Nothobranchius furzeri: one gene and its partner. The protein of the gene in region 2 interacts with the protein of the main gene of each other region in a pairwise test. Links are inferred from orthologs where the notes say so. Each region holds a gene or a part of one and is shown on either strand. Other genes may lie near its edges.

Region 1 (3,407 bases), on a different chromosome or scaffold from region 2:
CTGTCTGGCGTGGCCTAATAATGTAAAGACCATATAAAAATAAGCAACTGATTCCTGAGTTGACTCACCACTAAACGTGTGAGGAGATATCTGATGTGAAGAGATGCAGAGAAACTTAAAGCCAGTTTAGGACACAAAATCACCTGTTCTGGTGTATTTTTCTCTTCCTGCACCAGGTACATCTGTCCTATGGAAGTATTGGTGCTCCAGAAGGTTTTTGCTGAGACAAATGAGGCTGATCCTCGTGAAAATGGTGATAATGATACAATCCTGAAGCTGCTGATGTTCGTTGGCACCTCTGTCAGTCAGCCATTTTAATGCAAAAAGAAGAAAAATCAGGAAATAATGAAGCGTAATGGTGCTTCTTTACTTCACGACATCTTGTTTTCACCCCTTAATGTGCTTCGTGTCCCCAGATCATCACCTCTGGCAAAAGAGGGAAGAACATCCTGAGTGTTTGACAATTCTGAATCTTTTTTTTTTCCCATCTATTTGTGTTTCAATGAGCAAAACATGAAAAGAACCCAGACCGCTTGTCTGGATGTTCACAGGTGAGGTAATTTCCTCACCTGGAGTTCACCGTCAGGTCAGGACACCTGTGCTGCAAGAGGGCTTCTCCATTTCTCCATTCCAGGTGTTCACACCTCAGCTTTTATTGATTTGAGATTTCACAGGTGTTTCAGATACACTCAGCAGTAAGAAGAGCCCAGGTACAGTCGCTCTGAGAAGAGGAGGCACAACAGAGCGCAGGATTCAGCTCCCCGCCGTGAGCTCTCACACAAACTTCAAACCTATTTACAATCATAAACAATCGGCGGTTGATAGGATGTGATATTTACAGTTATTGTTACAAACATGTCCGGGTCAGCCGGCGTCTCTCAGCCGCAGAAACAGCTCACATCATCTCAGCTCCGCTTGGTAAAAACCCCTCTGAGGGCAAAAGAGTCCGCTCGAGGAATCAGTGTCACCATACAAACGGTTTAATCGTGTCATTAACAATCACTTCTAGTTAGAACATCTCTGCAGAGAGGAACCGAGGAACACATAGAAAACAGTCAGTCGTAACAAAATAACGGGTGTTCTCGTCTGAATCAACGCTTAAAAAAACTTTTTGTACAGGATTGTTATTTTTTCTCTTATTTTTTTTTTTTTTACAGGAGGAGCTTTTAGAGTTGGATCTCGAACCAAAGGAAGACACATGGCAGACATGGATTTTCACACAGATTGCATATGTTCTCTTCTCTCTAAGGTGTTCCATAGGTTAGTCATCTCACCTAAGCTTATTTGCATGATAGTAAAAGTTGCATACGACAATAATTGTGAAGCTTGTAGCACGATTTGCTCGACATACAGCACTTTATAGGCGACCTTTAAAGCACATTTCTCCACTGAAGACGTTTAAGACACTTTTTGCTTCCACTGCCAGTGTTAAATCACATTTATAAATAGAAAAAAATGGCAGAATTTAGAAAAAAAAGAGGAAAAACTGTGATAAACTTTTAAAATAAACTGTAATTACATCAGAAACACAGCAAATAAATAATGTCAGACAACATAAACATAGTTTAATTCACATTGTTTTAACTGTGTGGCGAGTCAGAGTTACAGTGACAAAGGTTTTGCAAAATAATCTAACATCGGCAGTGCCGTATTGTACAAGGCATTTGTTGGCATAGTTTCTTTAAGACTGTACTTTTTTACAGTTACAATATAATGTCTATATATATTTATATTATATATCTTCCCTAACAAATGATAAGCAACGGTTCGGCTGTTCTCGGGTGATTGCGTTCCCGAGTTTGGAGTGATTTCTAATCACACGATGCTCTTTTTAAAAGAATGACTCCTCCTCCAGCAGGCTGCAGACGTCACACCTCACAATTAAGGCCTTTACAACCACTTGGTCCTCGATTTCATTTGATATTAACAAAAATGAAAATTCCAGTTAAAACATTACATACACCTATCAAATTCTTAGTAAACTCCAGGGGGTCTTTTTGATTTTTTTTTCTTTTTAATATAATCTGTAGCTCAAAAAGATAGTCAGTGTAAAACAACAGACATCGAGTGCAGCCAGCAAATATCCACGGTGACGTACTTTACAATAATGTTTTTGTGCAGATTATTAAAACGATGCATCGGTTTTTACAGTGAATATTACAAGTTTTACAAAATCCAAAAAGTAGTACATGAGATGGGTTTTCAGTGTGTGTGTGTGTGTGTGTGTGTGTGTGTGTCACTTCACAGAGCCTGTAACTTTAATTTATACATAAACACTTCCCGTTCAGTCCCGACGCTGCGTGCACAGACAACGCTGCTTGTCTGCTTTTCCAGCTCGCCGGGTCGTGTCGTTCAGAGCGTTCGGATTCAGCACGGTCATCAGTCTGAGTGTGCGGGTCAGAACTCTGAGTCCAGGATCGGAGGGAGCCGGATTTCTACTCTTTGACCTCATGCTCCGACTCGTGGTGGGTCTCGGCGCCTCGGCCCAGCTGCTCCTCGATCTTGATGGAGAAGATGGTGCTGTTGGTCTGCGTGCTCTCGTCCAACTCCTTCAGCAGCTCTCCGCTCTCCCTGAAGTCTGTCAGCTCCTCCTCGAAGGCCGGGCTGCTCCTGCTGCTGCTGCTGCTGCTGGTGTTCACCGCTGTGCTGTTGTTGCTGCCGCTGCTGTTGTTGTTGTTGGGCTCCTTGGGCGCCTTGGTTGGGTGGCTGATGTAAAAGCGCTGGTTCTGGAAGAACTTGATGATGGTGAGCTTGGGTAAGTCCAGTTGGGCGGACAAGGTGTGGATGGCCTCCTCGTCTGGGTAGAGGCCCACATCCTGGATGAAGCTCTGCAGGATGCCCAGCGCCTCCAGGGAGATCTTCCCTCCGCTGCTGCGGGACTTGATGCTCCCTCCGCGGCTGCCCTCGTCTTCCGTCTCGGCCGGGGAGGCGGTGGAGGGTTGGCGGGGAGGCAGCCTGGGGCCGGTGAGGGGCTGCTGCTGCTGCAGGGGCTGCTGGGACAAAAGGGGCTGGGAAGGATGGAGGGACAGGGAGGGCTGGTGCTGCTGCAGCTGAGTCGACTGAGACTGAATTTGAGAAAAAAAAAAAACAAGAACAAAAAGAAGGTAAGGGTGTTACCAATCTGAACCATAAACAGGTTTGTTATAAAAGTTGAAAAGAATTATTCGTGAACAGCCTCAGTTCATAGAAATAGGGTTTACAGCCCCAGGACTGATGAGCTAATGGCTAGTCTGACACCTTAAAACAGATACTTCAAACAAATGTGGTGATTTCATCTGCAAAGATAAGCAGGAGCAGGAGGAAGGACATTTGATGTGCCCAGAGGTCAAAGGTCATTAGGGATTATTGTATTTATTTTTTATTTCTGCAAGAACATTTGTGTAATTCAAGGTGCAAGTCAAAACAGT
Region 2 (3,756 bases):
AGATCTTTCTTTTGAATCCAACTGACGATGGCGATCTGTTTCTGGGCTTTGTCCCACCTTGACAGAGCCGCTTCTGTGTGAAGCTGCAGGGCTACAACTGGTGAAACGGATGTGATGGGGCGGGAGAGGTGCCTCTTCAGTATCCTCAATCTCAGACTCGTTCGAGTCAGAGGAGAGGTGAACCAGCTCAGGAGTCCTCTCTGCTGTCGGTTTGACAAACCCTATGATGACACAGTCCTCGCTGTCAGAAGACACACGGTCTTCCTCGTTGCGGTTACTCTGAGGCACGCCAGCTGGGTTATGTGAGCTCTGCCGGTGTGGAGAAGCCTCAAACTCTTGCATCTCCTCCTCTGAACTAATATCTGAGTCCAAGTTCAAAGGTGTCATCGCTGTTGCTTCTCTCTGCTCGGCTGAAGTGGAATATGACGGTCCAGGCGTCTCGTCGTCCCACAGAGAGTGGCTAAGAGAAGTAGGTTCCCCTGGGGGATCCACTTCTGCAAAGGTATCCTCATCCTCCGAGATAGCAATCACAGATGAGTTGGAGCTGCTGCCTTCGTTTCCGGAGGGGGCGGGGCAGTCATAGACTGCATGTTGGTCATAGGCCTCCATATTGAAGGGGGATTTTGCAAAGCTGAGGAACTCGTGTAGAAAGTGCTCGGTTCGACCTTGCAGGAATGGTCTGAGCTCTCCCTGGATCGCTCCATCCTCCATATCATAACGCGTAATGCGTGACATGATGATGTGCTGAACTATATTGACCAAAGAGCCATGGGCCCCGTACAAAACCATCAGTTCTCTCTTCAGCCAGGGGACCAGTCTGTGCAGGCAGGCTGGATTTCTTCGATAAAACTCAGCAGAGGTGTTTCGGGACCGACCGCCATCTTTCACGCTCTGAACCCTCACACCCCGTCGGTACAGTTCCCTCCTGAAGTTTATCATCTCTTGCTCTCTGACACTGTTCACCGCCCTGCCTTCCCTCGCAGCTCGCCTCTTGGCTTCCAACCTCGTCATCATGCGTCGAATGTAATGATCTCGGTGCTGCTCCAGGGTCGGGCGTGTCGCGGCTTCGAACATGACTCCGTTGTCTGGAGGAGGAGAGGTTCGTCTCGTTGCTCGAACTCCAGTGAAAGTTGTTCGGTATCTGAACCGCACTCCCTCAAAATAGCCAAAAGAGGCATTCTCCACCTGCTGTTTGATTTCATACCTCTGAAAGTCTTGATCTGACTTCACGCTGTGATAGATTGACCTAAACGGCTGTTTGCAGAGCGGACATTCGGCCTTGTTTTTGGACCACTCCAAGATACAGCGAAAACAGAACTTGTGCAGGCAGCGGTCCAAGTGGGAAATGTTGTTGAATCTGTCCAAGCAAATGGGGCACTTGGAGTCTGGCGATGCCTCTCCAGACATCGCTTTAGAGTTTTTACCTCTGGCACTGTTCTGGTTGTGTTGCAGGGCAATCTGGACTGCAGACATGATCTAATGTGGAGAGAAGAAAAAGCTGGAGTGATCTTCAAAATACAAGCTCTTACTTTAAACACCAATAAAGCCAACCTAAGCAGGCTGATTGAATAAAACGCAGTAACTAGAACAGCAAAAATATATAAACCGCTTTCCATCTATGATTAAATTATGGAATTTATTTTATGTTTGAATCATTTATTCACTAAGTTCACAGGGCTGGTGTTATTACAGATTTACATAGATCTTAGTAATAAACAATGGAAAAAGTTGTTGATTAAAATAAACTATGAAACTTTTAAAGACTTGGCTTTTTAAACTTGCTTTGCCTTATTTTATTTATAATTGTTGCTTGTTTATTTCCTCGTATTTTCTATTTTTACTGTGAAGCACTTCGTGATTTTTTTCTGCGAAAAGTGCGATGCATTTAAAAGTTACGTTTCTGCCCCATTATGAAAATATGAAAATGAACACAAACAATTCTCGTTAACCTGAACAGATTTCTACTCTAGAGGACATTTATCACCGTCACAGCCCATATTTTGTCTTTTAAGGAGCTGTAACTTTTGGTTGTCTTTCAAATAAGTCAAAACTAACTAAACGGGACAATCAGAAAGACAACCTAAAAAGACATGGCTCTTATATTTGGCAAGATAATAGAAACGCAAGAAAACGTATTAAATATGTCTTTCGGCACATTTGTTGTGTGTTTTAGTGAATGCTGACGTTGTTACGATCCCGTTTTGATTTGATGAAAATTTAATGTTGGATTAGTTTGAAAACATAAACAACCTCAACAAATAGTCATAAAAATATTCTTATTCGCAGAACAAAGCTAACTGTAGATTATAGCTGGGTTTTTGGTTGAAGCTAGCACAAGGTGGCTACGTTAGCTAGCACGGTGCCGTTAAAGTTATGACACGACGGCAAGGAGTCCGTTAATGAGTTGTAAGATATTTACCTGCGACTTTGACAAACACACATACACACCACTGGCAACGAATTAGGAGTTTCCTTCATGAATAAATCCACTTTTTAGTAAACATCTGTCAGCTAGCGTTTCACCTCCTTTCCACCGGTTTCATAATTTCAACGTTCGAACACTTCCGCTCTTCAAAATAAGAGCACTTCTTTAGACACTTCCGGTTTTATTTATAACTCAAGTGAAAAAGTTCCACTAAAACCAGGCTTTGAGGATGTCTGTAAGACTACAATAACTAACAGTGTGATTTGATCTAGCATGAATGGAATTGAGACCGTTTAAAGACTATAAAACCTAAGATGCAAATTAATCCAATTCAATCACGATCAGTAAAAAACATGATTACAATTAAACAACTTTTCAGGTTCACACACACGAGGAGGGGGGTGAGTACTAACTGCGCAGAAAAGGTGCAGCAGCAGTTTCGACCTGCGAGTGTCTCTCTGCGAGGTAACGGTGCTAATTGCGACACCTCATAAACTGATTTATGACCGCCTCATAAACACCAATCATGTTAAAATGTTCATGCAACATAATAATTTAAAAACCTATTAAAAAGAAAAGCTACACAAAACTAAATCTTATCATGAGCACAAAGTCCTGGAATAAATGATGAAATTCTTCCAGTTAAAACCCAACACCACACTCATTACAGTCAGACATGAAGAATTTTGTAATATTTTATTGTAATATACAGTTTTTACAACAGAAAAACAAAAAAATTAATCACATTTTTTTTTATTTAGTGATGGCCATGGATCTCTGGGAGATCAGGTAACACTTCGCCAGTCTCCAGAATGGTGTCACCCTGTAAGAAAGGTCAATTAAACATCTCAGACAGCAAGTCAATGACGTCAGTGGTAGACAATGATTGTACCACATAAACAGAAAACAGCTAATTAAAATAACACACGTGTATTATTCAGAACTAGTATATATGCTATACTCACAGGTAAAAGCTTGGGTTTCGTCTCCACAATCCCATATGGTTTTGTCTGTGGAGAAAATGTACCTTTTAGCTAGTAATCCTACTGATCACACAAATTAAACTTGAATCCATAAACTGAGTGAGACTGTCTGATTATAGCCAAGAAACAACTGAAGACACAGGAAAAAGTCTAGTCCTATCCTGCTTAATGGATGAGTGAAAACCAGGTGGAGAAACGTGCTACAAACACTGCAAAACTTTTGGGGAAACTTACAGCAACGTGATATTTCACATAGTAGTGAACAATCCAGCCAGGCAGGAGCAGACGTGTGATTGTGAAAACTCCACCTTTGTATGCTTTGTAGGTCTGCAAGAAAACAAACAAAAA

The links.
Region 1: the proteins of toporsa (region 2) and satb1b interact in a two-hybrid assay, tested with the Homo sapiens proteins (2 studies listed by BioGRID and IntAct). The link is inferred for Nothobranchius furzeri from reciprocal best matches to the Homo sapiens genes TOPORS and SATB1.

What each region holds. Positions count from the first base shown.
Region 1 is NC_091745.1:63,026,992-63,030,398, forward strand, and holds the end of satb1b (SATB homeobox 1b), read right to left. Parts: intron 3,066-3,407; coding exon 2,436-3,065; 3' UTR 627-2,435; downstream 1-626. UniProt on the Homo sapiens protein: Crucial silencing factor contributing to the initiation of X inactivation mediated by Xist RNA that occurs during embryogenesis and in lymphoma.
Region 2 is NC_091746.1:80,962,791-80,966,546, forward strand, and holds the start of toporsa (topoisomerase I binding, arginine/serine-rich a), read right to left. Parts: upstream 2,559-3,756; 5' UTR 2,420-2,558; intron 1,477-2,419; 5' UTR 1,474-1,476; coding exon 1-1,473. Other genes in the region: ndufb6 (NADH dehydrogenase [ubiquinone] 1 beta subcomplex subunit 6), read right to left, coding at 3,183-3,248, 3,391-3,435, 3,643-3,735. UniProt on the Homo sapiens protein: Functions as an E3 ubiquitin-protein ligase and as an E3 SUMO1-protein ligase. Probable tumor suppressor involved in cell growth, cell proliferation and apoptosis that regulates p53/TP53 stability through ubiquitin-dependent degradation.